Oryctolagus cuniculus: one gene and its partner. Each later gene encodes a partner of the first gene's protein in a complex. Links are inferred from orthologs where the notes say so. Each region holds a gene or a part of one and is shown in the gene's direction. Other genes may lie near its edges.

Region 1 (3,158 bases):
AGGGGCGTGTGGAATGTGCCCTACATAGCCCAGGCCTACGTGATCCGCGGGGAGACCCTGCGGACCGAGCTGCCCCAGAGAGAGGTGTTCTCGAGCAGCGACACCGACCCGGACATGGCCTTCTGTAAGAGCCTGCGTGACCAGGTGAGGGCTGGCGGGCGGGTGCCGGGGGCCGGCCGCCCGCTGCCGTGGCCAGCGCCCTTCTCACGCGTGCTCGCCGCCCCGCCCCCACCCAGGGCATCTTCCTGCACCTCAGCAACCGGCATGAGTTTGGCCGCCTCCTGGCCACGTCCCGCTACGACACGGACCACCTGCACCCCGACCTGTGGCAGATCTTCGACAACCCTGTGGTGAGTGGGGGCCGGCAGCCGAGGAGGCGGCGGGGGCTGCCTGGGCCGCATCTCAGGGTCCCCCCCATCCTCTGTGTCACCCCATCCTGCCCCCCCAGGACTGGAAGGAGCAGTACATCCACGAGAACTATAGCAGGGCCCTGGAAGGGGACGGGATGGTGGAGCAGGTGAGTCCTGTGGCAGCAGTCGAGCCGACGGGGCTCCAGCCCGCGCGACCTCCTCTGTGTCCGGGGCGTAGCGATCGGTTTATGGGTGAAACTAGGATGTCAAAAAGAGGTGCCTGTTGTGGAGGGGTGGGAACCTGGGGCTCCCGGACCCGCAGGCCGCCCTGCTCTGCCCCAGCCTCTCCTCCCTCTCCCCCTCTGCCTTTGCTCTGTGAGCACCCACCCCAGCGCTGCTCCTCCTTTCCCCGCCCCACCCCAGCCGTGCCCGGATGTCTACTGGTTCCCGCTGCTGTCAGAGCAGATGTGTGACGAGCTGGTGGAAGAGATGGAGCACTACGGCCAGTGGTCAGGAGGCCGGCATGAGGTGAGGGTCCAGGCCTCCCGGGAGGAGGGGACGCTGAGACCGGGGGCGATGGAATGGATGGGGGGGACACACGGGGAAGTGAGCCCCAGGCAGTACGCCTGCATCGAGGAAACGTCACTGGGCCGTTGGCCAGGACGTGCAGGTGCAGCGAGGCGCCAGGCAGGGCAGGCTCTGCCCTCCTGTCCCGAGCAGCAGCTGCCCAGCTTCCAGAGGCTGGGACGGGCAGCCCTTGTCCCTGCCTGGGGGGACAGGAGGGCTTCATGGGAGCTGTGAAATCAGGAAGTAGGGAAGGAGTGCTCCAGGCACGGAGAGCAAGCGTGTGAAGACTTGGGAGCATGGGGGAGGGGGCCTGGCCCGGGCGGGGCGCGGAGGGGCCCCGGCTCAGCGTCCACTGCCCCCAGGATTCAAGGCTGGCCGGAGGCTACGAGAATGTGCCCACCGTGGACATCCACATGAAGCAGGTGGGCTACGAGGACCAGTGGCTGCAGCTGCTGAGGACCTACGTGGGCCCCATGACCGAGAGCCTGTTTCCGGGCTACCACACCAAGGTAGGCCGCTGCGGCTGCCCTCACCGCCCCTGCCACCGCCACCTCTGCCCCAGCCTGCCAGTGGCCACCCAGAGCCCCATCAGCTCCCGTGTCTAAGGTTCTGTGGAATCCAGGTCCCAGGAATGAGACGGGGAGCGGGGACAGGGACCGGGCCAGAAGTAGGCAGGCCGAGACCCGGGGTGCATCGTGGCTTAGCCGCGGCGCCAGTTAGCAGTGAGACCTTGGGGGTCTCGAGGTGTGTGTGTGTGTGGGGGGGTGCTGTGCTCTCCCCAGCAGCCCCTCCCCCCATCCTCTGCTCTCTGCACCTGCAGGCCCGGGCGGTGATGAACTTCGTGGTTCGCTATCGGCCGGACGAGCAGCCCTCTCTGCGGCCACATCACGACTCCTCCACCTTCACCCTCAACGTGGCCCTTAACCACAAGGGCCTGGACTATGAGGTGAGCCCCTCCCCCGTCAGCACACACCCACGTGCATGCCCTGGGGCGGGGGGACCCTTACCCAGGGCTCCTGCCACCTCCCCACCCCGTGCCTTCCTCCCACGTGCACGCCCGGGACAGGGGGACCCTTACCCAGGGCTCCTGCCACCCCCACCCCGTGCCTTCCTCCCCATGTGCATGCCCTATGCCCTGGTGGGGGGGACCCTTACCTGGAGCTCCTGCCACCCCCACCCCGTGCCTTCCTGCCCCCTTCCCGCAGATGCCCCCCCCCCCCCGTGTGGCACCACCCCCACAGCTCAGGTGTGTGCTCAGCCCCCTCGCCTGCTCCTTTCTCACTCCCCCCACCAGGGTGGCGGCTGCCGCTTCCTGCGCTACGACTGCGTGATCTCGGCCCCGCGGAAGGGCTGGGGGCTCCTGCACCCCGGCCGCCTCACCCACTACCACGAGGGGCTGCCCACCACTCGGGGCACCCGCTATATCATGGTGTCCTTTGTCGACCCCTGACACGCAACCACTGTGCCAAACCTTCACTGCCATGGTGCCTTCTCAGGGGAGCCCCAGCCGCAGCCCCAGCCGCCGGAAAGGGGCGGCCGCCGGTCTCCCCGCGTCCTGAATGTGTGCTGAGCGTGCCTGGGACTGATCGTGTCGTGCACCTCCCCCGCCCCCACCCTGCCCAGACACAGCCCCCTCCCTAGAGCCCGCAAGGGCTCCTGGGGAAAGGGTCTCCTGGGGGTGCCCTGGGTGATAAATTATTGAGACTGTTCCCTCCCACTAAAGGAGGATTTGTAACTCTGAGTCCGTGGGTTGTCTGTCATCCCCCCTTGTCTGGTCCTGTTCCTGCCCGCCACCCTGTCCCCTGCCCAGCACTGCGGGCAGAGCGCGGGAAAGGCTGTACCTGCCGGTTCAGGTGGAGGCCCCAGCCCCACGCAGGCCCCTGACCTCCCCAAGGATGGGTGCAGGAGCCAAGGACGGCACTGGCACAGGAGCTGCCCCCTGGACACGCACGTGCTCTGGACCTAAACTTGAACCTGGGCATGACCAGGGAACGGGATTCCCTGCAGGGTCATCATTGGAGAGCTTCCTGGCAGAGGGGGCTGTGAGAGGAGGAGAGACCTGAGAGCAGGGCTCCTTCCAGCCTCTGGGAGACCCCCAAGCCCTTGCGGCTCCCTGGGGGCTGCCCCTGGATCTCCTCTCTGTTCCCTGCTAGAGGCCTTGACGCCACCTGGCCCAGGGCGTTTTGTTGGTTCCGGACCCTTCCCCCTCCCCAGCTGGAGCCCCCTGGCAGGAGGGCGGTG
Region 2 (3,500 bases), on another chromosome or scaffold:
GCCTGGAGGTGTGGCTGGGGCCAGGAAGGAGGCGGGACCTGGGGAGTGACCCAGGCCAGGAGGAGGGACCTGGGGCGTGGCTGGAGCCAAGATAGGACCTGTTAGTGTGGCCTGGACCGGGAAGTGGGACTTGGGGCGTGACCCGAGCCAGGAGGAGGGACCTGGGGCGTGGCTGGAGCCAAGATAGGACCTGTTAGTGTGGCCTGGACCGGGAAGTGGGACTTGGGGCGTGACCCGAGCCAGGAGGAGGGACCTGGGGTGTGGCTGGGGCCAGGAAGGAGGCGGGACCTGGGGAGTGACCCAGGCCAGGAGGAGGAACCTGAAGCGTGGCTGGGGTATTGCTGGAGCAAAGACAGGACCTGTGGGCTGGGGCCAGGAAGGAGGCGGGGCCTGGGGCGTGACCCGGGCCAGGAGGAGGGACCTGGGGCATGGCTGGGGCGTGGCCGGGGCCAGGAGGCATTACCCTGGGCGTGACCTGGGCCTGGAGGTGTGGCTGGGGCCAGGAGGAGGGACCTGGGGCGTGGCCGGGGACATGGCCTGGACTATGAAGTGGAACTTTGGGGGCTTGGTCAGGGCCAAGAGGCATGATCAGAGTCAAGAAGTGGGACCTGGGGGCGTGGTCAGGTCCAAGGGGTAGGACCTAGGGTATGTATGGCTGGGGCCAAGATAGGACCTGGAAGTGTGGCCCAGACAGGAGGGCCTGGAGTTTTGCTGGAGCAAAGAATAGGGACCTAGGGGTGTGGCCATGGCCAATGGTGGGACCTGGGGGCGTGGCCTGGTCAAGAGGCTTGGTCTGGGGCTTGAGCATGAGCCCCGCCTCTGGGGGTGTGGTCAGACATGGGGGCGTGGCCGGGACACAGCCGTGACCTAGCGCATCATCACAAACTCTCAGGAGCCGGGCAGAGGGCTCACGGGGTCCCTGGGCCTGTGAGCACCGTCAGGGGCATGGCCTGTGGGCTGGTGCCCTGCAAGGGTGACAGGGGAATCCGGAGACCTGGAGTGCAGCCTGCAGGCCCGACTGCGGCTCCTGGAGCTGGGATGTGGGGGAGATTGGAGCTGGCAGCCTGTGGGCGTGGCCTGAGTGTGGGGGTGGGGCCTGGCTGTAGACCGGCCCCGTGTGGCTCCCGCTCCGGCCGAGGCGGCACCCACCCCAGGGCCTGGGCTCACGTCCCCGTTCCTGCGCCGCAGCTACGTGGGCCGGAAGCGGATGCAGGTGGAGCAGCCCGAGAAGGCCGTGCCCCGCGTGAGGAACCTGGTGGAGGCCGACTACTCCTACTGGACCCTCGCCTACGTCATCTCCCTGCAAGGCGCCCGCAAGCTGCTGGCCGCCCAGCCGCTCTCCAAGATGCTGCCCGTGGACGAGTTCCTGCCCGTCATGTTCGACAAGCACCCAGTGTGAGGGGCTCGCGGGGCTGGGCGGGCCGGGCCGGGTCCTGGGCGTCTCTGCCTCCTCCCGTGCCGGCCCCGCCCACGTCGGGGCCGCCCCTTCTGCCTCCCCGAGTGCTGCTGCGCCTGCACAGTGGCTGCCCCCTGTGTCCCCGCCCCCACTCACTGCCCCGCCCCTCTCCCTACCTGTGACTCCGCCCCTCCCCTCCTGCACAACCGCCCTTCCTGCGTCCCTGACCCCCAATCACTGCCCCACCTCCGCCTCACTGCCGCCTCTGCCCTGTCCCCGCCCCCAACTCATTACCCCGCCCTGACTCACTGCCCCGCCCCGCCTCACTGCCGCCCCTCCCCTGTCCCCGCCCCCGCCTCACTGCCGCCTCTGCCCTGTCCCCGCCCCCAACTCATTACCCCGCCCTGACTCACTGCCCCGCCCCGCCTCACTGCCGCCCCTCCCAGTCCCCGCCCCCGCCTCACTGCCGCCCCTCCCAGTCCCCGCCCCCGCCTCACTGCCGCCCCTCCCAGTCCCCGCCCCCTCCTCACTGCCGCCCCTCCCCCCAGGTCCGAGTACAAGGCCCACTTCTCGCGCCGCGACCTGCGCGCCTTCTCCGTGGAGCCGCTGCTCGTGTACCCCACGCACTACACGGGGGACGACGGCTACGTGAGCGACACGGAGACCTCGGTGGTGTGGAACGACGAGCGCGTGAAGACCGACTGGGACCGCGCCAAGTCCCAGAAGATGCGGGAGCAGCAGGCGCTGAGCCGCGAGGCCAAGAACTCGGACGTGCTGCAGTCCCCGCTGGACAGCGCCGCCCGGGACGAGCTCTGAGGGCGCCGGCCGGGGCGTCCGCGTCCGCGTCTGCTGGGGCCACCTGCTGCCCCCCGGGGCGTCCGCTGGGGCCACCTGCTGTCCCCCGGGCCGGGCCACACACGGCTCTCCACGCAGTCACTTGCACGCAAGCAGCATGAATGGAGTGCCTACTGTGTACCAGGGAGGGACAGGGCTTGGCATGGGGGGCTGGGCGGGGCCAAGCTGCAATCATTAGGCGCCTGTGTGTACCGGGACTCCATGGAGGGGCGCAGCGCTGGCCCCGGGCCGAGCGCTTTGCTTGAATGACCTCACGCCCCGGGTTTGCGAGTGGCTGCCCCGCTAGGCGCCCTGCCGGCCTCTGGGCGGTTACGTTCACTTCCTGAAGCCTTCGAGCACCCACGGCGCGCTCAGCACACTCGCGCATGGGTTGAGCGCCTGCTGTGTGCCGGATCTGAGCGAGGCGCTCGGGCTGGAGCACAGCAAGGTGCCTGTCGCGCACCCGCACTGCCGCGAGCCGCGGGGACACAGAGGCGGGAGCCAGTGTCCCCGGTGTCGGCACCTGCTCGCCGGGCCACACGCCCAGTGCTGGGTTGGGGAAAGGGGCGCGGTGGCTCCCCGGATGTCCTGGGCTCCCCCTGTGTGCCAGGCTTCACGGGCCCCCCTCCCCTCCCGAGCTGAGCTGTGTGCCCTCCGAGGGTCCTTGTTCCACTGCAGGGGGCAGCCGCGGGCCCGCGCCAGAGGGGGCCCGGGGTGGGGCGGGAGGCCGGGTCTCCCTTGCCCCGCCCTGGTCTCAGGTGCGGCCCCTGCCTGCTTGGCGCGGTGCCTCCGTGCTGGCCTCTGCCGCGGCCGCGTGCTCGGGGGGCCCAGCCCGGAGCCGACGACCCGGCCTCCACCCGCTCCGGGAGACCTCGGTGTGCTGGGCAGACCTGGATAACTTGCTTATTTTTTTATTAAATGTTTCGGGTTGGTTTTAACCAAACTCTGTGGTCTGCGTGGCTGCCAAAGCCCCCTCCCCACCCCTCACCGCGGGCTGCACGGGGTTCCAGGTCCCCGCACACCCCATAAACGTCCCCCCACGTAACTGGGGCGATCCCAGAGCCCCCTCTGCCTTGTTGGTCCAGCGGGAGGGGCGTCCAATGAGTGAACGAGGAGGGGGCTGTCCTGGCGTGGGCTCCCCCAAAACACCCCAGGAGGGGGACTGCAGAGTGTCCAGACGTGAGCCCTGGGAAGGGGAGGAAATGAGATGCAGCTGGGGAAGAGCCCTGCAGGCGGCGCCAACGAGCCGACAGCGCCCGAGGAGAGGAGC

What was found. Proteins that work in one complex are often made in the same cells at the same time.
Region 2: the proteins of PLOD3 (region 1) and COLGALT1 are in contact, whole or in part, in a cryo-EM structure (PDB 8ZGE), measured with the Homo sapiens proteins. The link is inferred for Oryctolagus cuniculus from reciprocal best matches to the Homo sapiens genes PLOD3 and COLGALT1. Residues at the interface, in NP_001075.1 of Homo sapiens: Leu226, Val229, Val230, Leu231, Lys232, Phe233, Asp234, Arg235, Arg241, Gln261, Tyr264, Leu265, Pro275, Gly430, Ala431, Leu432, Arg440, Glu442, Glu446, Arg452; in NP_078932.2 of Homo sapiens: Ala36, Tyr37, Phe38, Pro39, Glu40, Glu41, Arg42, Trp43.

Annotation. Positions count from the first base shown.
Region 1 is NC_091450.1:43,400,223-43,403,380, reverse strand, and holds the end of PLOD3 (multifunctional procollagen lysine hydroxylase and glycosyltransferase LH3), read left to right. Parts: intron 1-2; coding exon 3-144; intron 145-236; coding exon 237-350; intron 351-448; coding exon 449-517; intron 518-773; coding exon 774-878; intron 879-1,279; coding exon 1,280-1,426; intron 1,427-1,737; coding exon 1,738-1,863; intron 1,864-2,211; coding exon 2,212-2,367; 3' UTR 2,368-2,658; downstream 2,659-3,158. UniProt on the Homo sapiens protein: Multifunctional enzyme that catalyzes a series of essential post-translational modifications on Lys residues in procollagen. Plays a redundant role in catalyzing the formation of hydroxylysine residues in -Xaa-Lys-Gly- sequences in collagens.
Region 2 is NC_091447.1:65,369,619-65,373,118, forward strand, and holds the end of COLGALT1 (procollagen galactosyltransferase 1), read left to right. Parts: intron 1-1,188; coding exon 1,189-1,395; intron 1,396-1,944; coding exon 1,945-2,212; 3' UTR 2,213-3,173; downstream 3,174-3,500. UniProt on the Homo sapiens protein: Beta-galactosyltransferase that transfers beta-galactose to hydroxylysine residues of type I collagen. By acting on collagen glycosylation, facilitates the formation of collagen triple helix. Also involved in the biosynthesis of collagen type IV.